Coturnix japonica: one gene and its partners. The protein of the gene in region 2 purifies or fractionates together with the protein of the main gene of each other region. This does not show direct contact. Links are inferred from orthologs where the notes say so. Each region holds a gene or a part of one and is shown on either strand. Other genes may lie near its edges.

Region 1 (7,532 bases), on a different chromosome or scaffold from region 2:
CAATACTTGCAAGGAGAAAAACAAAAAAAAAAAAGAGTGATAGATGCAAAAGAGCAGAAAGCATCCAAAAATGTACTGTGAAGTACTGGAGTAGAAAGGAAACGACCCCAAGTAAAACATCGTGTCCTTCACAGGTTGCTATTCCTTGGGAATATTTGTTGGTAAAAAAAACAACCCCATCAGCTGAAAGTCATCTGGTGACAGTTACGTACCCCCAGAATAAAGACCTCTGTACTGAGGTTTTCTTCTTCTCCACTTTCTTGCTGACTGGTCTTAATTTAATCACACTCCCATCTTTCTACCTCTGCACTGGATGCAAATAACCAACCATCCCACAGCACGGGGAGGCAAAGTTCTACTGGATTGGAAAAATCAAACATAGGTCATTTGGGGGTAGAGAAAGCTTCTCTGGATAAAACTGCGTCCAAACGCAGAAGCAAGCTGGGAGCAAGCCCATATTTCACAGAAAGATGGAGCCATTTCTGATGACACATTGCTTGCAAAAGTGGCTTTCTCCTCCCAACACCATTCACAAGGGGCAGTGGGGAATATGACGTGCTGCCATGCTGGGAACTGGGCTCTGGCAGCTGCCTGGCAGGAGCTGGGAGTACTGCCAGACACACCGCGTCCTGGGAAGGAGCCACCTACCCAACATAAGCAGGACTTTTTGCAGCTCTCCTTGCCTGGCAGAGAAGTACAACTGTTTTGGATGGAACCGTAACTTCTTGGGTCTGCAGCAATGGGGAAAGAGGCAGAATTAATACACGCTGAAGAATATTCCCCAATATTTTAGCCCAACCCACACCATAGGCATGAGAAAGTTTGTTCCTATGGTACAGCTCCAGAGTGCCAGCAAAACCAAAGAACATCAACTGTTCAGAAGATGGCTTATTCCTTACTTTTCAGAGTCCAGGGCAATCAGGGCACTTTCCAGAGTTTCTTTAACTGGTCCCTGGGTCAGGCTAGTAGTAGGCTTTGGAAAAACTGAAGATCCAGCTAAGTCAAATCCCTCCGCAGCCGAACTTTCTGGCTTATCTTCCTCAGACAACCGCGTTCCAGTGACACTGAAAATGAGAGAGAGCCAAAGCACAGCCATTAAAAATATACAACGCTGTGTGTATCTTATGCCAAAGAAGGAAAGGAAATTGATTTTAAATTGACAGACAGAGTAACACAAAGCAAGATATTTTACAGCCATTTTTGGTAAAGAGTTGCATTGACCTATGACTACATTTCGATGTACTCTTTGCAACAAGCAACAGAACATCATGGGGCTGAGGGCACTGCCCTGCTCACTACAAGTCATAAGAGCCTTGAGAACAAGATCAGATCACACAGGAAGCTGAAGCACTCTTCATCACAGGGATGTCTTCACTTATGTTTTCCTCTAAGTTTTGACTCTCTGCATCTGTACACACTGCTGGGGGCAGCTAAACACCTCAGGCTAAGTACTCCACATGAAGGGCTGAGGCACAAGCGTTGAGGCTGCCACGAGCTCCCAAGCTCACCTCCCTGTCGTGGTGTCAGCCCTTCCCTCCACTGCTGCTGGTTTCTGCTGCTCATAGGCCAGTGACACCGTGGAAGTCGTGTCTGCTTTTGCTATTGTCACCTCCTTTGCCTTGGAGGCGTCTTCCCCGCAGTGTGGGCAGTAGCTCGTGTCGTTGACCTGGGAGGCACAGTTCTTGTGGAAACGGTGGGAGATGCTGCTCTCAGGCTGACACTCCATGAAAGTGCCCTAAAAAAATTACAGAGAAGATATTCACACCTTGGTCACTACGAGCCTTACCCCTTCCACATGCTTCATCCGCAGAGCTCTTAAACACATCATTCACGACCTCTCTTGTCCCTCGCGCTTCCAGTACAGTAAGCAAGCACTGCCACTTCTTTAGAAGAGAACAAAACCAAGGTAATGGGAAAAAACTCACTTGGTTAGGAACTGCAAAGCAAGTTTTTTAATTGCACGTGGGAAACAGAACCACAGAGTCCCATTTTCCAGCTCTAACACTTGAGGTTCTTGCTTACGTTCCTAGAAGTGCCAGTGTACTGTAAGGACGCTCCCAATACTGGAAAAGAAAACTTCAAACCAGTCAGCACTAAAACTACCAAACACATCTGCACACAAACCATTCAAGGAACAACAATGATACAATTACATCAGCTGTCAACCCCAGTGTTACCCAAAGCATGCAACTCCTCTGTTTGGACCAGCCCTGTATGCTCTTTAACCCCATCTGCTGACAGATGTGAGCCACCTTTCTACAAATTATCTTCTCTTTCCAGCAAAGTCCTCCAAGTTGAACTGCACCCCAGAACTCACTGTTCTGTGATATCAGTGCTACCTAAAGCCCTACGGTGCTCTGTGTTACTAGTGACTGATAACACAAACACTGCCAGATTCACCTTTATGAACTATGAGGTCACTCAGAGATGTAACAGCATTAAGGAAAAGTTAGTTTAAACCCACTCTTCTCCTGGATTCACAGTCCTCCCAAGACATCTTATTAACTATTTCAGCATTGCAAAATGTCTTCAAGCGTTCTGAGGATTATATCTTTCAAATGATCTTTGACTCAGCATGAAAACTCGGGATGGTACCATTTATTACAGTTATAATAATGTTGAGACTACTCTAATACCTTTCATCGAGTCATCTTTAAGAACGCTAACATCAGACAATTAACCCACCCTATCACCCCGGGAGGCTCTCAATGAGTGTTTCACCAGCAAGGAAACAAGGACAACGATGGCTCAAAGCACTGGGCCAATGCTATTAAAACCTCAGTGGTAGAGAAGGAGGAGGAGATCTCAAACATTGCCTTGTTCCAGTGCCATCACTCTGGTTCCCCCACCTCACTGTGCGGCACGGGGGACAGAACCCCTGTCCTGTATGCAGACTAAGGCTAACACCATTTGTGATGTGATTGACTGCACAGAGGAAGAAAAAAAAAAAACAAACAATGTTCCAAAAAAATTCCAAAGGTATGAATTCCACCCCTTCGGTGACACCCCTCGGGGTCTCCAGGAAGTTACAGGTGAGCATTGTAGCTACTTTCAAACACATTACTGTTGAAAATGCCATCTGATGTGCTGTGGAATGAGGTGGAGCTTATGCCAGGAAGTCAGTAAACCCCTTTGGGTAAATCTCCACCTTCACCTCTTCCAGCTACTGCAACAAGTACCCCCTTCCCTAGATTGAGAGCACGGACTTACTGCAGTGCAAAAGTATCCACAGCCAGGGCAACACTGGTGTTTCACCATCCTCCCTCTATGGTCCTCACACAGCACCAAAAGCTGGACTTTGTTAGACGGGCGCATCAGTTCATACTTAACCACACTGTTTGTGCATCGGCCCAGCTGGAACAGGAGAAATTAAAGGAAATGAAATTACTGGAGACCAAAACACTCTCTGTGCTTGTGCGGAGGAAGATTTTGCACACTGCTTTGATGAGCCCTGGCTTTTTCACAGTAATTCAGATGTGTGCCAGATAGCATTAGCAGGGCAGCAGGAAGCTGTGAAAGCTGCTCTCACAGGAAGAAATGCATCATTTACTAACTAACATGCATGTGGACCGGACTCATTTGTTCCTTGCAAGAAAAATCATAACTGGAAATACGCAACAGCCAAGCAGCCACAGAGGGGGCAGTCCCAGGGGCCTGACTCACAATACACTCTCTGCTTTTGCCAGGAAGAGCGGGTGTCAGTGACCAAGAGAACAAGAACATACGCGCTAAATCTTGTTACTGTTCAAAAGTACAAGTCACAGGAAGATAAAGGGAAAAATAATTGCTCTTCATTGCCAGCTATGTTATCGTCTGTACTGGTTCCAGCACTGGCCCCTGCCCAGACCACAGGGACGAAGAGCCAGTCGTTCATGAGAGCTCAGCTCCAGTCAGATTTTGAGCATGCTTTCTGCAACATTTCACCAGTGTATCATTTCGGGCCTAAGAGCTGTCTTCTGGCACCTTGCTCTGCCAGTGACAGCAGGCTCCATCAGCAGGGCTTTTCCCAGCAGTGTCACTCACTCTGCTGTGCCTCAAGGACTGGGGCTTCCTCCTGCCACCCCTGTGTACACCTATAAACCTTCCACATCCTGTTTGCCACCTGTCAGCGTGGTACAACATTGTTTGAGTTCTCTAAATCCCTTCAGATGAAAACCTTGCTTTCTCCCAGTGCTTGGCAAAGGACAATTCCAGCACAGAAACATAAACATGAAAAGTTCATAGGAGGAAACACCCCTACCAGAATCTGAGCGTGGTGTACTGCACTCTGCCTCCATCACCACAGCAGTCCGTAAGGAACACAGTGTCTGCTCCTCACTAGCAGGCTGCCCCTCCTGCTCTGTAGCTGAGGTCTGATTCACTGCTTTTTCTCAGTAAAACTAAACTCCCTGATTTATTTTAAACTCCATTTCTCCTACAATCAACACACCTACAGGGAAAAAAAAACAAACAACAAAGAACTGTTTTTAACCTGAGCTCTTCTCCCTTAGCATCTCTGACCCAGCTTACCCAAACTCCAGCTGCAAAGCCTACCTGCGGTTGTGACACCTTACCTGAAGTGATCACTGCTCACACACAGACCCCAGGGGCTGCAGGAGAGGACCAGTCCATTGATTTTTATTTATGAGTGGAGGAAATCTGATTAAAGCAGGAGAAGCTGCACTGTCTGCATAAGGAAGTCCCTGCATCATCCTGTCACAACATATTATTTGTTAGAAAAGTCTAAAATAGTACAAAATGATCAATTGCTATTTTCCAGCCATTAGAGAGTGTAGTGGTGCTCCTGACTATTTATAACATTATCCAAGGACATGACTGTCTACTGAACCCACTATTCATACATGTAATATCCTTACCACATCTATGAGTCACTTATCCCATTACCAAAAAGAATCTAACAGAATGCACGGCCTTCACTATTCCTTTATCTGATTTATCTGGGGGAAGAACTGCCAGATAACCACAGGAACTCCTCTGTATTCTTTCTGTTTATTTAGAAACCCTGGAGAACCCTCTCTCCTGCGAGTCTCCAGGGCATCCCCTCCTTCACCTACCAACTCTGTCACGATAGTGAAATTCCTTTCTCTATAGGTACCAGCATGTACTAACAGAAGCAGAGCAGGGCTGTCAATGTGATTACCCCTTCCTCCCTCCATCCACCCTTCTACTGTGATACTCCAGAAGAACCAGGAGTGCTCTGACTCCTTGTCCTTCTATCAGTAAATATCAGAGCACTGCAGCATGGCTGCAGCTCAGCTGATGCATCAAAGAAACGCCAGTTTCTTCCAGAGTAAGGAGCATCTCCCGAGTTTGCTTCTGTCACGCCATCTTCCTTTCCAAACTCTGAGAGGGAGTCACTTTTGCCTCTTAATTCCACCTTCTCAGAACCAGCAGAGCCCAACTAGCCCAGCTGTGATCAATTTAGAGGCATCAAGTGCAACGTTTCCAGCCAGCCACAGAGGCTGCGCAGGACTGCCAGGACATAGGAAGCTTAGTAACACAAGTCTCTTGGGGGGGAGGAGGAAAGTGGAGGGCCAAAGGAGACTGAGCTGGCAGAAGGCATGCCAAGTTCCAGAAACTCAAGAGCTGGCTACGGAAAGGTTTGCATCAGCTCCTTTGTAGTCAAGGGAACCAGCTCCAAGCTTCCCCCGATTGGATTCTCTCACTTTGATGCATGCTAATGTATTTTAGCCCACTTGGCCTGAAGTGTGCTTGTTACATCCAGCTGATCCAGCTACACAAGCCAGGACAAGCAGGAGATCCACCCAGTGCTTCTCCAGCTAGCCCCGCAAATTGTACCTACTCACTTTGGAGTGGCTTTAACCAGAGTGTGCGAAACATGCAGAGTGCTGCAGGGAGGTGTTTGCCCCACCGTGCCCACACCACTGGGCTCCCAATCTAGCATGCTGCAGAGCGTCTGCGTGACCTGATGCATGCCCCTGGCATGGCTTTATCTCTTGACTATGTCTTTGTCCTCAGGAAAAAAAAGTCTGCGAGAAGCTGAAAGACAGGTTCCTACCTCATTATCCACACTCTCGGTGGCCATGCACTGGTTGTTGGCTAGCGTGGTGATCTCTCTGCTTTTGGGGGTTTCCATTCGACAGCTACAGAGGGGAACTTCCTGGAGACCATCTACTTCCATTGCTTCAGGGCCATTGGAAAGACCTAAAGTACAGAAGATCAGTAAATCAACTCTCATGTTACCCTCCAGGAGGAAGGATGCAGTCCATCAGCACCATTCATGTCTCATGGCATCTTCCAGTTCCACATCCTGAAATGCTTTAAAGGCATCATCTAAACCCTGCAAAAAAAGACCCACTTCTTACAGCAGATGGAATCTGCAAAAGCATACTGTGCTTTTCTGAGTCCAGTGACACCACAGATGACAGCTCTGGATTCAAGAACACTCTGTTAAGAACAGTTGATCCTGAGAAAACCCCAACACGGAAAAGCTACAAGGTACAGATTTTTATCAGTCTGTCTCTTTCTCACCTGTCCCACAGCACTGTGCTCTGCACCAGGAAATCGGTAGGAAACAAACTAGAGTTGGAAATTTGAGTAGTATGGGGAGTGTTAAATAGAGAAGATCAGGAAAGCATAAACTACTATTGGCAGAAGCTTACAATGCAAACGGGAAAACAAAATTCCTGGGACTATTTGGTCTCACAGAACCAAAATATAGATGTAATTTTTATTTATTTTTTACTTGTTTTTGAAAGAAAACAAACCAGAGAAAAGAAAGCAGCAAGATGTTCGGATCTTCTTGCCTTCTCCTCATCTCTTTCTCTCAGATATTTAACACTTCCAAACCTTTTTAAAGGTGGACAATGACTTTTAAGTGAACACATGGCCAGGAATGGGGGAACATTGTGAAGGTTCTCCCTCTGGATTCAACTCATTTACTAGGTTATGTGTGACCACAAGACACTGACCCGATGACACAGGGATTACTTTTTGTCCCACACACCTACCTTAGTCCTACACAGTTGTAACATCTCTTGCAAGGTTTTAAACCCTCAAACATTACCTGCAGTTCACCCTGCAGCGTCCCAAGCTTTTCCTGAACAAGCCTGTTATGGGTTTAAGTCACAGTGAGAAGGAAGTGTGCTGCTGTTTTTGAAGCTTTTGGAAGAATAGCTGTTTTGCTGCAAAATTTCAAAGACTAACTTCATTCTTTAGAGATTCCTCTGTAGCTGCCCTGACAAAAGCACTCTCCCCCTTTCCTGCCTATGGCTGCGACCCTATCAGCTGAGTAGAAGCTCTTTTCATCTTGTAAGGGGTTTCCTTTGGCTAAGTTGCAAGACTAAGCCCTGAAAAGGGATGAGATGTTTCAAGACACACAAGCAGAAGGAAAGCCCTTGCAGTTTTCATGTAAAATCCTACCCAGATATTAAACGTGTAAGAGCTTTATCTAGGACCACAAATCACAAAGCTCATTCCTCACCTTCTAAGCTGCCGCTTTCATAATCTTTCTTGACATCCAGAGGCTCTGATGAAAACACCCCTCATCCATCCTGACCCTCCCTTGATGG
Region 2 (8,014 bases):
ACCACAAACAGGAAGAGGAGCTTTAAGAACACCTGTTTTCTGATGGAAACAGAAAACCTTGTCTGTATCCTTGAAAAGAAACTACTCCTTTATCATGTACATTTCTGTCCTTTAAAGAGCACAATGTTCAGTTACTCACCAGTAATCAGACTTCCCTGAATAAAGGCTGTCCTTCGTAAAAGCAAAAGATGAGAGATTTTATCTGAACTTTCTGAAACACGTGCCATTAATATGCATTTTCTTTTTCAATTCAGGAACCCCGTTCAACTCTTCCTCTTTCCTTAAGTAATAAAGCCACGCTGTTAAAACCACTATAACACATTCCAAGCTTTATTCTGGGCACTTAAAGGAAGAGGCAACCTGTGCAGAAAGAATGACATTAAGCTGTATACCAATGCTTCAGAAAGAGGAAAAGGGATTGTAAGGATTGCTGAGAAGCTTTGGGTGTGCAAGGATGTCTTTTTTACTTCCAAAAGCTGAACTAGAAAACCACGTCACGTCTGTCAGGGGTGATGCAGGGTCTTCACTGACCTGTTGGACATGCACCGTTGGTATTTTCTCTGTGTACCAGGTGCCTGCAAATCATTTTTTCTTTGTTTCAAGCTATCAAACCAGAAAAATCAATCTCACAATTTGTTCACAGAGAATCCAGATGTAGCAGAACTGTCCTCATGCTGTAGCCGCCTTCCATTGCCTTCCTACCTCATCTGTTAGCTCCTAGCAAACCACCAGGTCACACATCCCCAAGGTAACTTCCAAGCAATGGTCAGTAAAACATGCACACACTTAATTAAAGATTTCTAGAATATAAGCAAACATGCAGCACTGTTTACAGATCTGTTACAATGTGAAGTGCAATGATACCTTAATTAGAGATAACAACATTTCCAAATGCCAAAAACATTTAGATTTTTTCAGATTACTCAGAAAATGAACACATTTTATTTTTGCACTGTGACACTTCCAACTGTTCTGCCAAATGTATACTGCTATAATTATGCTTTGCAATCATCAGCTTCACTGGAGAGGGGGACAAAGAACAATATAATCAGTAACTAATAACTATATATAATCAGTAACTAATAACTAACATCTTTCACGTGCCTCGTTACTATTTTTCTACAAGAGAAGAAGCCTAAAAGCTACTTTATCGACTGTGAACAAGTCTAACATTAGCATCTCAGTCTGCCCAGGACCATGCTGTTATGCCAAGGCAGACTTCATGGCTACCAGTGGAAGCTGAAAACCACAGTTTCATATCTGGCTTCTTCAAGGGACAGTCCAGCTGCCTTTACTTAAGTCAAAGCTGGTTTATAGAACTGTGTAAAGGAGACAACACATGCAAGAACATGGCACACCATTCGAATAAGCAGGGGAAAAAAAAATAACCCTGAAAATAGCTTCAGGATGAAAGGCAAATATTCAATTTCATATTTAAGAAACCACTGAAGGGAATCATAGGTACCTCAGAGACAAAAATTACTTACACAACTACATTAAAAGAGAACTAATTGCTCCCCAAGTAATAGAGTCAGATTTTTTCTCCGCTGAGTATTAAGTGAAATTTAGTAGTAGCGCTCCCATGCCGTCATTAACTTGGGAGAACAGTAAATCCGATGCTGCCTGTTCAATTGGTTGCTTAATTTGCATGATTCGTTACTGTAAGCGAGTGTGCAAATTGCTAAAAGCCATTGGAAAACAGTTCAACTCACAGAGCACTTAAAGTGCACAGCCCTGTAACTTCCAGGAGCGCTTGTGGCGATCCATTAACTGCACAGAACAAGCTGTGTGCAGCCCTGTGCACATGTTCACTGCACCAACATCTCATTTGGGGAATCAGTCCCACACCATTCAATTTTTAGCAACTGAATTTCAACTCGCTATCACCTCCTTTGAGCAGTGAGACAAACAGTAATGAAATGTGGTGCGTCACAAAACCGCTGGCATCTCTTTATAGATGCAATAACGCACAAACGCCTGCTCATCACAAGTTTTTATGTTAAACAATTTAAAAATATACATATAAACAGCAGCAGTAATTAGCAAACCACCGCTACCTGCTTTTAGTGAGCTTGCAATAAAATCCATCTTAAAAATAATTCTTTTTTTCTGAGCCAAAAGGTTGAGAGAAAAGAAAGCTTTACGGGGACTGTTGAACAAAAAAAAAGCTGACAGAGAAGATAAGCCACCTTTAATAGCTGTACAGCTCATTAAGTTTCCTGAGCTTTAAAAGAAACATTATGCATCCTCCTAAAATATAAAATACTTAGGCTGTGTTATGGGAAATACGTGCCGAGAACTCCTTGATTCTTAAACCTGAACAGGACCACATAGAGAGAACAGCTTTTCTAAAAACAAACCTGCCCCCTCATTTTTATCCTACATTACACACTGGCACGGATCTAACAACATCAGCCAGAGATGTTTACAAACCTCTAAGAACATCAGGAGCAGAATATAGATCTGACGTTTTACACAGTCAAACTGAATTCCTGTACCCAGAAAACCTTAAGCATTTTTCCATATCCATTTTTTCTTCCCCTCTTCTCTTGTTTACCCTCTTCCTCATCTTCCCACTCCCACAACACAGCATTTATCCAGCATATGGTAAAGGGGATTAGGAAGTCAAAGTGGCTAAAAAACTTCATTCCTGCTGTATTTTTCAACTGCATCAATTCCCAGCAGCGCATGGCCACACAGATAGATTTTAGGATGCAGTGAATTGTGTAAGGCTGGGAAAACAAGCCACACAAATGGCTGTGATTAAACAGTGTCACAACATGTGAACACACAGCCTGAGGGAAGCCGCTGCTGTTTTATACAGTCACAGAACCTAACGGTCTGCCACCTCCACCCCGACTGCATTCTTTGCCACATCATCACAACTAATTTCTCTTACGTCATCCAACTGACAAATATAGTGACCCTAAGAGAATGGTGGAGTTCAGTTCAGCTGTGGGTGCCCTCAGAAGGGACAGGTTTCTCTGTCCTCTCTCATTTCCGTCTCCTCATGCTTTGCTAATTCAGCTCACACTAAAATAGGCAAAAATAAAATAAATATATACCTTTAAGTTTTCTGGTAAGGTCAGACACAGAGACTCTAGAATGAGGACCTAGGACCAAAGGATGAACAGCACAAAGCACTGTGGCATCTCACCCATAGGTCACTTCCATCTGATCCTACAACAGAGTTGTCCAGAGGAAGGGACATCCTTCCCAATTTCCCACCCTCAACAGCCAGCTCCCCAGTTCTTGGTGAGCAGATAAAGCTGACACCTTGGCCAATCAGTCAACTAGTGACATGAGACCAATTTGGATCAAGTATTCAGGGTGAACTAAGCTACTTTTTGTTGAGATTACATCACTTACGAAATTGTACCCTCTGGTACTCTGATGAAATGCCTTTCTCTGGCTTTGTCATAAGGAACTGTCCATGTGCCCCTCATTCCTCCTTTCCAACTGCTATTTCAATGCAACTCGTGAGTCAGCTGTGACCTAGACTGAGGAATTCACCTACATAAAAAAATTCTCAAACAAAATATTGTATTTTTAGTATTGGTCCTCTTCCACTTTGGTTCATTATATGGGTACACTCATATTGTAACAAAGAAAGGGGAAAAGAGGAGGATACAACAAAGCTACCAGTGACTGCTGACGACCAACACAGCTGCTTCAAATGCAGTTTACTGCTTCAGTATTAGGCATGATGCAAAAACTACTCATCCAACAGTCTGTACACTTACTCCAGTCATACCAGAACGGGTTTGGTAAAGAAGTTAACAGATCCCTTCTAAGAAGAAACAAGCATCTAGTATTAAAAAAACATCATTAAGCCTCAACCACTTGTGCATTCATCAAAATACAACTTATCCCTCAGCCTGTTTTCACATCAAATCTGAAAGAAAACAAAGAACACCAGGAACATACAATTCACACAACTGTGATTCAAGATTAATTGACTGATGCAAGTGATTCCACTCCTTTCACAAGATCTTGGTATTTTTATTAACGTTCATTAAGTTTGGGGGTCTTCTGGGATTTTTTTCTTTAACTTCTTTCCCATTTCCTCACTAAGACCAGATATGGGCTCTTAAATCAATCTATATGAAGCATATCTGTAGAGAAAGACCCTGGAGAGGATTATGTGGTCTCCTTATCCTTTTGTGGTTGTTATTTTATACAAACCCACAAGCTTTCACAACATCTTGGCAGAACGTTTTAAAATGCTGAGCTGGAAGGAAACGGAACTGGACAACAGTACAGAGTTCCCACACTCTTTGCTTTTATTCATCAAAACCCAACACCTCTGCACAGTTAACAGGATTTCAACAGGAAACACATCTCAATTAAAAAAATACACTGAATGACCAAACGAGCAGAGTTCTGACCTTCAGAAATATTTATAATCCACTAAATGAATGCAACCTTAGAAATTGAAATATCCAACCTTCAAATATGCGATCCAGCCGTTGCCGCTTCACTTTGTGTTTGTCCATTAGAGACATAAGAGGGGAAGCTCAGAGAACGTCTCCGCACAGTTTGATGATGGACTTCAAGTCAGCCACAACTCAGAAACGTTTTCTGCCTTTTATAAACTTGTTTGTTTTTTAAACCTGTGAATAGAAAGACAGATTTCTTAAATATAGTGGGTTTTTTTCCCACCCCTTTCCAGAAGAGTGACCTATGTATACTTAAAAGAATAAGAAAACATTCACAGTTCCTAAATATACTTGGTATCCTGGGATTTCACAATAAGCTTCCCCATAGGAAGGCATCATAACAAAGCAATCAAGGAAATGCTCCTCTCATCCTTAACTCCATGATATTAGAATAAATTAGAGTTTGATACTGGGAAGTTTAGGGTCACGATTCAAGAAACATATAACTGAAGATGTGCATCCCAGTGAGAGCACAGACTGCCAACATCTATATCAAGCAAATGGCATTTAAAACAGCTTCATGCATGACTAGGCAAGCTCTTTGGCAGCACACACAACTAAGCACTTTTCAGATCCTGCGTAGCTGGGCAAGACAGCAGAAGGGTAACACAACACGAAGCCTGCAGGAAGGGGGTGGGGAGAGGAGAAACATCCCGCATCAAAATTCTCACCAAAATGTACACTGTAAATAAAACACACAGGAGCAAGTGAATGGGTAAAGCTATAGAGATCCTTGGAAAAGCATAATAAGAGCAGTGCATTTGTCCCCTGTAAGAACTTAATAGGCTCTGAGAACCAAACACGTATTACAAGCATGGTGCATACAAACACAGGCCAAATAATTCATTTCCCTGTTTCCTTTTATTCCTTCCCAGGAGCTTTCAACATCAGTGGTGAACATTACATGGCTTTGCAAGTGACCAAACCTAGAAATCTGCTTGTTTCTTCCTTGATTTCTTCCTTTTTTTTTTTTTTAATCAAATCAAACAAGTGCACATTTAGTCAACACCTCACAAAGACTCTTGAGGTGAAGTGACAAAAATATTTTGAATATGAAGCACTGCACATTTGCATTAAAACAGCTATCTTCTTCCAGCCGTACTCTGCTTGCTGCTTTTGGATTTTTAAAACAAAGCTCCTCTCCGTGTTTATTTTCACTTGAAGATGAAGGCAATGTGCAATATTCATCATGCTTTTATCGCTTTATTCAACCTCATCCTCCCACCCACTCTCCCTCCACCTTTTCCTTTATCCTCAGATTCAAGAGTTCTAATGTTCTGCACAATGTCTGACTACAGCTGAACATAATCATCGTGACAGCAGAAATTGATGAAGAATGCTGAAGCCAAATTTCTCTTTAAAAATAAAACAAAACACTGCTGTATAGTAAATTTCCTGTTATAGTGCCTCACATTGATTATTCCTGCAAAATACAACATCCTTCAATATTGAACATGGCTTCAAGATTACATGAGCATTACACCAAATCTAACATGCGGTTAAATGCTTTTTAAAATTAGCCATAGCTACCTGCCTTTCCTTCAGTCAATGTGCCAAACTCGTGTCAACCCCAAACTAGCATTTCTTTGCCTGTTACCTTTGTTTTACAACCTACCACCTCCAATAGACACAGAAGAAGGAAAATAAAAGAGGACAAGAAACAAAAACCAGAATACACTGAATGTTTCCAATGCTAATCTAGGTTTAAATTTTTATAGCTAATTTAATTTCCTGTCTTGTAGAAACATATATGCCTTCTGTCCTCCTTGCGCTCAGTTTTGTTTATTCATTCAGCCCAAGATTTTTCCACTGTAGTCATTCTATGTACGAAGTTGGCTGACAGCTGTAAAAAAGCAGCCCATCTGTAACTACTGCCCTACCGCTGGAAGTGTCACCAGCTGCTTTCTATCCATCTACAGTAGCTTCAAAGCGTACCGCATAAATCAAGTAGCTTTGTTTAAAGCCCTGTTTGTTTGGTTTTTATCCACGGCAAGATGTTGTAAGTTTTAAAAAATACGTTTGAGCAAAAATTAAATTAACATATTAACACAGTGTTAAATGTAACCCTCACACAATTTTATTATATTTCGTGTTCTAATCCAAAGAGAAGATGATATGGGAAACATTCCCCAGCAAAACAAAAACATTCTAATTATGGAGCGTTTGTTAACTGCAATTACTAAACCACAACATGAATAACTGTATTTGAAAAATTCACTAAAAATAAAAGCCCATTGCCCAGGGAATTAGAACAAGAAGTATTTAAGAGCACACTTCAATATTTTAACTCAATGAGAATCCAAATGAACTCGGAATATATATTGATATGTACTGCCTAACTGCACGATGAGTAGTGGCTACAAAGCCATCTGAAATATCAGCATACAGAACCTGTTTGTGCAGCACAATTTTAAGATTAAATATATATCATTGAAAAGAATATTATAGCTTTTCTTTCAATTAAACAGATGATCCTAGTCTTTGAAGATATTTTTTAAGAGAAGATGCCTCTGGCAATTATAGCCTGGAGCATTTAGCTCTATCTCAAGAATGGATGAGCTTTACTCTTTGAGATACCACAATAAAAGAGAATCTCCAACATTTTTATAGCAGTGTGAGCAAATCCTACAAGCTGAAATGGGAATGTCAAGTAAGTAAAGCAACGTTGACTTAAGGCAACATTGGTAATGAAGTAAAGGACAAACATAAAGCTGTGAGTAAAAAGATCTGAAAACAAGCCATTCAAGGAGGTCTCTGAAGAAAGATGATGAGAAGCAAGAAAACTACGAAATGTATTTTTAAAGCTAGCCAGTAGGCTACTTACATGCACACTGGTAGGCTGAGATCACAGAATATCCTGAGCTGGTAGACACCTGTAAGGACTATCAAGTCCCACTCTTGGGAAGAGATGGGTTCCAAATTCCTAAGGAACTCTCTCTCATCAAACATCAGAGGTTGCAATGTAGGATAGTTTCCTTGGCTTCACTTTCATGGGAGACTTTTAGGTGAAACAGATAGCCTTTGTACTTAATTAATCTAGGTGGTGGAAGCCTACTAAAAAAAGTGACCTGCATCACACATAATCTGTAAGGAGCCCACCTACAAAAAGACTGTGTATAAGCTATTCTGAGCATGGACTTTGACCCATACAGGTAGGCAAGGCAAAAGACTGACCTGTACCTTTGCCTTACTATCAGCTTCCTTCACACAAAAAGATTTGTAGACTAAACCAAATATGGTGATAAAGTGTAAGAAATCCAAAACAGAAACAAAACTCACAGAACAGACTGATAGATCACTAACACAGTGAGAACAAAGCCATGAAGTTCTATGTTACCCCTGGGAATCTTTATCTTCATTTAATTTAGCCGTTCTAACATACGTTCTTTGGTCTGAAACTACATTAAGTTACTGAATTATTTTCCCTTTCTACTATCAACTTTCAAATGTATAAAAACCTACTGCAAGAAAAGCGGGAAGTTTATTTTCAACATTCCACTGCCATCGGTTTCTTATGACTTCATAAATTAAATAAGTTTCCAAGACAACCCAAGCAGACTAATGCTTTGCTTCTC
Region 3 (7,532 bases), on a different chromosome or scaffold from region 2:
CACTATTAATATCAAAAACTGTCTTGTTCTTTGCACTCTCAACATTTCATTTCTCCTCATCCCCAAACCCTGATGGGTGTATTTCTCCTTATTGGCCTCTTGCTTCTGAGTAGCAAGAGATACTATGAAGTACAGGGCGGTGCTCAAGTTTTATAATGCGCATGTCCCCCATAACATATTTTGCCATGAAGATGCAGCTTCTACCAGTGAAGAAGCCACAGGTAGGTCTTGGAAGAAGTAAGTCAAAACAGTAACTACTGATAACCGGCAGGCAGCTAAATCTGAAGCCAATAACATCACTGCTAAGTGAGCCTAACATTTCTTGGAAAAGCTGAAAAGGACACACACTGGACCCTGACGTAACAAAACAAGGGTAATCTATTTCAGTCCCCACAGAAAAAAAAGAAAAAAGAAAAAAAAAAAAAAAGGAAACAAAAAATACCCAACAAAAATTAATCAACAAAAACCAAGTCAGAACTTATTACTGGAGAACAATAGTAAAAACATAACCAGACATTGTCTGGCAATGGTATCAAGCAGGAGATTCATCTAAAAATAGAATAAGAAGAATGTGGCCCAATATCCTTTGCTAACCTAGAACACTAATAAAGGTTTATAGAACTCAACCATGAATGGATTGAGTGGGATTTTCCATATGCTGCTCACCAGTATAGAAGCAATGGGTGGAGCAGGAAGGAATGCAAGCCTAATGCTGAACAATAGCCTGTCTGTGCCTAACAAATCAGAGAAACTGTGCAATAATGTTTCATCTATGTGAAAACGTTAACATCTGAAATACTGCCAAGGTCAGCGAGACCTTTGGTGATCAGCTGTGTAAGTGCTTCTCATGCATGGTGATGGTCACTCCTTTAGGCACGTTATTTTTCAAAAGACTATCAAAGTGCTGAATGTTTAGGCCAGTTCCTCCCCATTTTCCTTTTGCCAACCCCTGTAAGACATCATCTCCTATCACCTCTCCTTTAATCATCCACCTCCCTGTCTATCTGGTTAAGTATCTTATAAGTAAGTGCACCAAATCCTAGAAGGGAGAGTGGTGAGATTCAGGTATGTTAAATACAAGAACTATTTTTTTTTTCTTTTTTTCTTTTTTTTTATATGATGCTTTAGTTTCAATTACATGAAAATCTGAGAAAGGCGGCATGTAAGTGAGATCAGAATAGGACCCTTTACATATAATCTCAAGTGAGGACTTAGTCCAGAGATACTTTCATAGAACATTTTAAAAAATAAAATGCATGAATGGAGAAATAAAAGACAACATAGTATCAGAAAGACATTTTAAACTTCATTCGCTGCAACATTCATGAACCAGTTGAGCTACACCTGCCATCCAACCATAAGGAGCTAAGACCCTGCACTGCGAAAAAGAAACAAACCCAAACGAAACAAAAAAGCAACTGCGTAATATTGTAAAAATGGAGTGCAATGCTACTACAGAATGCAATAAAACATCAGCGCTGCATCGTCAAACAGCACTTATCAAAATAATTTCTGAAATGTTTCTTCTGAAACACAGACAAAGCAATAAAAAGAGGATATATGTTTATCATTTTAAGCATAACAATGTGAGTTAAGAGCTTAAGAATACAAAAGTACTTGGAATGAATAGTGCTACCCTTTTTCTCCTAAGTAGGCATAAAAATATTTTCATTTCCTTCTTGCTTTTCCATACCATTAATATCAACAAATTTCATTCATTTCATGTTATCGTTTACAACTTTAATGCACACACACAGAAAAAAAAGATACCTACTGCAATAGAAATAGTTGCTTCATTACCTTGTTTGCTACATTTGCAAATGTAAACAGCGAGGCAGAGCCAGAACTGACTCTAATGCATGATGGAATATCTTTGTTGCATACGTACACTGTAGAAAATAATTATTCAATATGTCAGGCACCATTATTTGAAATGTAATACATTAATATTTACTAGAAAAATAAGGTTTTTTTTCTATTTGTTCTCCCAACTTCTTTAATGAAATAAGTTAATCTGACAGTGCATCCAGTAGCTTGTAATATCTTCTACATCCCTGTGGCAAAATAATAAACTACTGGTTGGGACGCTATAATGAAAATGATTAAAGTCAGTTCTTGTACACCCTTGTAGCAAGCATGGAGGCTCGTCTAACAGCACCTTTAACCAATTATTTAATATTTAGTTATTTAGCCCTATTTCCCTGAGCAGTTATGCTGAGGAGCTTTCCCTTCATGGACAGTTTTTACAAAGCTTTAAGTATTAAAAAGTACTATGAAGACATTTACTGCTACTTAGCAAAAGCTGGTATAAGTCTACTGAAGGGACTGACTGGTATGTATAGCAATGTTAAGTGTGGAGAAGTAACCTTAGACTTTAAGGTTTAGAAATGTAATATATTAAAATATATTAAAATAAAATACAGCAGGTTACCTTGTTCCACGCAAATTAAACCCGGAGTGTGGCTTCTGTATTAGAGACTTCACTAGCACAAAATGGTTTTCCTAGACTGAAGTATGCCAGAAAGGATGTAGAGATAAAATGGTAGCTAAAAATCAGCTAAGTCTGAGAGACATCTAGATGAAATTGCTGCCAAAGCTTTGAGGAAAGTGATCCTAAGGCATGTTGTAGGGCAGAAATTAGCCCAAATTGATAAAAAGAAAGTGACCTTTTAACATCTGTATATTTAACAAGTCTAGCTCTTATATACAATGTGCATATGCTCACTATACCTCTGCAGCAGTATATACATACACACATCTTTGCACTCTCGCCAGTTATGTCTCTTACAAAACAGCAAAGATATCAAATGTCCGGTAAAATGTTCTCAAAGTTATTTGCCATGGTATACTGCATTCTGGCTAGCTTTGGTGGGCCATGTCCCATATTACTATCTCCTCCACCTTCAGGCCACCATACAGTTGTTCTTTTTTTTCTTGGTAACCCACTCATTTAAAAGAAAAAGATAAAGTAAAACAAAAACTGAAAAAAAAAAAAGAAAAAGGAAGAAAAAGAAAAGACAAGGGGTTTAATATTGGATAAGGCATGCTCTCTATATGAAGTGCTTTATAGGTCTTCACAAGACATTACAAGCTATTGAATTCCCATCAAGGAAACCTATTTCTGTTTAATTGTGCTAAGTGCTAAGGTTTACTCTTTAGGTTTTCCATTCTTTTCAGCTTGTGCATTGTTCCTGTGTAGGCCCCTCTGGATGTGAGTTGTGAAGTCATACTTGTCCGTGCAAAGATGCTGGCATATGCTGCACTGGAAAGGTCCACTGTCACCATGGCAACTCATATGCAAAGCATACATCACTTCATCCAGAAAGACAATGCCACAGTGCACACACTTGGTAGAAAGTTCATCTTGAGTACTTCTATCAACTTTCTCTGTTTTTACTACATTCAAGGGACCTTCATTTTTTACATTTGGTGGTGCCTTACTCTTTTCCTTGGAGGCACCATTTGCAGTTGGCCCAGGTCTGGAATGCTTTATCGCCAAATCTAGAGGAATGTCATTGTCTGATCCAACAGCTGAAAAATGAGGAGGCAGATTAAAGGTGGGATAAGGCACATAGTTTTGGCAAGGATTTGGTAGGCCAGGCACATGACTCAAGTAGTGTGGATTCCCAGGAACAGACAGCTTATATTTACTCCAGAATCTCAGCCAGTCAGCTTCACTCTGAAAGTCATTGTGTACAAACGGAAGTCCAAAGAGTGGGTACTGGTATTTTTCAATGGGGCTTCCAGGTGGTGAATAGTTCGGGTGTTTCACAGGTCTCATGTACTTTTCAATTGGGCTGCCTCTCTCTGAGCTTCCTTTCCCTTCTGATATCGATGAACTGTTGCCTGGGTCTCCAGTACTTTCCTGAGGACTTTTTATCTGAATGTGCAAAGGTTGCATCCTTTTGTGAATATCCAGAGATTGGCTGACCAGTATTGGCTGCTGAGCAGAATGGCTTTTAGTCAATGAACCTTGGGCCTCATATTTAGTGAGGCTGGGAAGCTGAATTTCTCTCTGATGACCTTCAGTTAAGTGATCCTCTGACCTCCTCTCTAAGGGGCTTCCATTGACTTGCTCCTCACTGCTACCCCTCTGCTGTTTGTTTAGTTGCTCAGCCTGAAGTGCCTCCGGGTTAAGGCGCTTTCTTGTTCGTCTCCTTATGATCTGCTCACCATTGTTCTGCTTAATGATGTTTAAAGGCCTGGGAGTCTGCATGGAACACACACATAATGAACAAACAGGAAAAAGAAAGAGATATTAAACACATCTAGCAGACCAGGTTCATGCAAATTTATCTTTTCTTTTGTGAAGAGATATAAGAGAGTTTTAAGGAAATTACCATTTCTCACAAATAAAGTGAACCAAAAGGCTGCTACTTGGGCCCTCATGTTAAAAATAAATCGTGAATTGCTTTGTTTTATTACACTAAGTGAACCATCACAGATGTACTATACCTGTTTACTTAGAAAAGGATGAAGCATCCAAGTTGTCCTATTTCTGAAAAAGCCTGGGGGAGATCTGCTGAAAGAGGGTGCTGAGAGCTAAAGATTAGGTGGGAGATGCATGACTCTACACACTAGCATTACGCCATATATTATGTCATGAGAGCTGGTACTGGGCAGGGGTTTGCACAGATCACTCTACAACAAGAACTTACCTTTACAGCCACCCCATTTTGCTACAGATAAAAAATGACAGTAAAAACATGACTTGATGATTATCACCACTTTTAACTAGGAGAGGGGATACAGATCTGCTTTGGAGATAATGATGGCAAAAAAGGGTCATGAAGAAGAAAATGTTTTCTTAAGCTCCAAAAAGATGCTGGGACTTTGTCACGAATGCCTCTTTCTTCATTCCTAGTGCATTTCTTCCCAAATGTTACAATGCTGTGCTACATGAGGGAGAGAGGAAGCACCCAGAAGGAGGGAAAGGGTCTGCAAAGAAAAAAACAGCCAGGAAGAGGCAGAATCAAGCAGGGCCTTCTGTTTCCATTTGATACTTCCCTACACCAGCTCAGGGTAGGTGGCCTATTTGAAGAAGAGCTGAAAACACTTCTGCGTGAAGGAAGGAAAATAGTATGAAGTAGGAGAGCAGCCAGGCCACTTTGAAAGGGCCCTCAGCAGGAAGGGAATGGTATGTGAATGAAAGATGGTACTGTAATGTCAGTATGTGTTGCTCTACTGGGCAGATGTTAAAACAACAGAAACTACCTAAAAGTTATTCAGTTTGGTGTTCTGAGTTGCCATTTGTCTCATCCAAATGCACACATAATCCTGTTTTGGTTGGAGGCCAAAGAAGTGCCCCATAAAGTGTTCTACTTATATGTTTACTTGGGAATTTTCCTTTTAACATTGTTTTAAAGTGCAGATTAAATTTTGGCCTACAATCAATATCCAAAACAATTTGTAACTTAAATGTAACATAATTTTATGTATTAATATAAAAGTATCCAGAACTGGAGGAATTCTCACTCTTATACTTACTTCTCTCTTGATATATCATTTTCTCTTTTTTCATCTATTTGCTTTCCTGATGTCTACTCATTTTTAATGGTTAACCACGTTTTAGGCAGCGCAGCTACTTGATCAAATTCTACTTTCTACTAAAAATCTAAATAAAAAGACTCTGATTTAGAGTCTGAATACACAAAATTTCAACTTATCAGAAAAAGAGCATCTGAAACAGTCACAAATAGACCAAGGTAAGCCAAGGCAAATTCATGTTCAGATTAAATTAGAATATTTTCAATGTATACTTTATGCAAATAAAGTTTATAGTTGCAGATTCGATCGCCAATTAATATACATGTTACAAGCTCAGTTTAAATTACTTTTTGTCGACACTGTCATATGGACAAAGTGTGACAGAACTTACAAATCTGTTGAAGGTTGCTCACACTAAACATTGATTTATACACTACAGAACACTTTCATATGGGTTCACAGTATCATTTGCAGAGATATGGTAATAGTTTTAACCTTGCTACAGGTGTGAAATCTGATCCTGCAAGCAGTTAAAAGAATCATCTTCACACCTGTGAGGGAGGATCCTCACGCATATTTGCATTTCTGGCTCTTCAACTCACTTGCCAGGAATTAATGTCTGTAGGTACAACTTAACAATACTTAAGTATGACAGAGACTATCCTGCTGACAAGTCTTCAGCTGGTTAAAACAGCAAACACAGTGGAGTAACACTACACACACATTTCCTGTTTATAGTAAAAAGGGGCAGACAGCAATATAACGTGTGCTTGCAAGAAAAGATGAAAAAATCTACTCGCTTCTAGATCATCGATGTGGCACTCATATTAAAAAACAGAAATTGCCAGAATTCTCCTTTTCAAATGTCCTATATCAGACCTTTAATTACATGTTACACATAGTATATTTAGTACAATTTTTTTTTCCTATCTCTGTATCAACTGGTAATCTCCATCCCTCAAAAGCATAAGTAACATTAAAAAAAAAATAAGAAAGGAAATTCAGCACTAATCAGAATTATTTTGTCTAGGCTTCCTATATATGATGGGAAATTGCTGTGATTTCTGCACCAGGAGATCATTTATATCTAACCCTAGAGTAATATACCGTAATCCCTCAAGGAAGTAGTCTGAGAATTTGGCCGAAAAATCTCTACTCAACATAATCTAGTTTTTCATGATTGTATTAGTTATTAAACAAAGAGGAATAACACTGCAATGTATGTGGTCATATTCATGTCTTTCTGGAGAGAAAAAGGTTATACTTTTCCACACCAGTAATTGTGAACATTGTGTATGTGCTTTCACTGAAATGGAAGTATCTTTCTTCACTTAAACTATTTTAATAATCGACCGTTTAAATATTATTACACTTTTCATAACCTATTTGTCTGCATTAAGGGAGAAAAATGTGAAACATCTGACAAGATTCACGCAAATGATCCATAGGTATATTGATAGAAATGGAAATGTGACTCATAACAGGAATCATTACAATATTAGCATTTATCAGTCCATATTTCTTTAGTACTATTGGACAGATCATGGATTTTTCTCCTTACTAAATACCAGTAAAAGATGAGACTGTAGAGATAAGTGTATTATACACATTCTTAAGTATCGATCGGTTAATGAGCACAGTAGTTTTAGGCAGTGATAATCCAATTAAAAGGTAGCTATGAAATATACAAACCTACTAGAGGTGAATAATTTTATTCAGCTGAGTAGCATAATTTAGTTTAATGGGGCAGTTTCATTTTAAGGGAACAGTTCTAGTCCCTTGGATTTATTTTTTTTTTCATATTTTCAGCCTAATAACTAGTATCACCCTAGACTCCTTAATTTAAAAATATATAGATGACAAATAATTATTGTATTTTTTCATGAAGAGATAGCTAGGGAGGTATACTATAGGGATAAAACAAATCTTCAAACTTCTGCTGTTACATAAGAGTGTGGGACTGTCTTAAACAGTGTCCCAATGGAGAGACAAGTTTGATTGAATTGGGTTCTGAAAAACCCAATTAACACCAGTGTTGCTACTAT

The links.
Region 1: the proteins of CTBP1 (region 2) and EHMT1 purify together in Homo sapiens (affinity purification with mass spectrometry; 3 studies listed by BioGRID and IntAct, counting the BioPlex papers as one, with this or other methods). This does not show direct contact. The link is inferred for Coturnix japonica from reciprocal best matches to the Homo sapiens genes CTBP1 and EHMT1.
Region 3: the proteins of CTBP1 (region 2) and zinc finger transcription factor Trps1 purify together in Homo sapiens (affinity purification with mass spectrometry; 3 studies listed by BioGRID and IntAct, counting the BioPlex papers as one, with this or other methods). This does not show direct contact. The link is inferred for Coturnix japonica from reciprocal best matches to the Homo sapiens genes CTBP1 and TRPS1.

What each region holds. Positions count from the first base shown.
Region 1 is NC_029532.1:1,220,374-1,227,905, reverse strand, and holds part of EHMT1 (histone-lysine N-methyltransferase EHMT1), read right to left. Parts: intron 6,166-7,532; coding exon 6,020-6,165; intron 3,355-6,019; coding exon 3,211-3,354; intron 1,736-3,210; coding exon 1,509-1,735; intron 1,065-1,508; coding exon 900-1,064; intron 732-899; coding exon 649-731; intron 1-648. UniProt on the Homo sapiens protein: Histone methyltransferase that specifically mono- and dimethylates 'Lys-9' of histone H3 (H3K9me1 and H3K9me2, respectively) in euchromatin.
Region 2 is NC_029519.1:76,689,363-76,697,376, reverse strand, and holds the start of CTBP1 (C-terminal-binding protein 1), read right to left. Parts: upstream 4,614-8,014; 5' UTR 4,506-4,613; coding exon 4,448-4,505; intron 1-4,447. UniProt on the Homo sapiens protein: Corepressor targeting diverse transcription regulators such as GLIS2 or BCL6. Has dehydrogenase activity. Involved in controlling the equilibrium between tubular and stacked structures in the Golgi complex.
Region 3 is NC_029517.1:121,431,743-121,439,274, forward strand, and holds part of zinc finger transcription factor Trps1, read right to left. Parts: intron 4,211-7,532; coding exon 3,149-4,210; 3' UTR 1-3,148. UniProt on the Homo sapiens protein: Transcriptional repressor. Binds specifically to GATA sequences and represses expression of GATA-regulated genes at selected sites and stages in vertebrate development. Regulates chondrocyte proliferation and differentiation.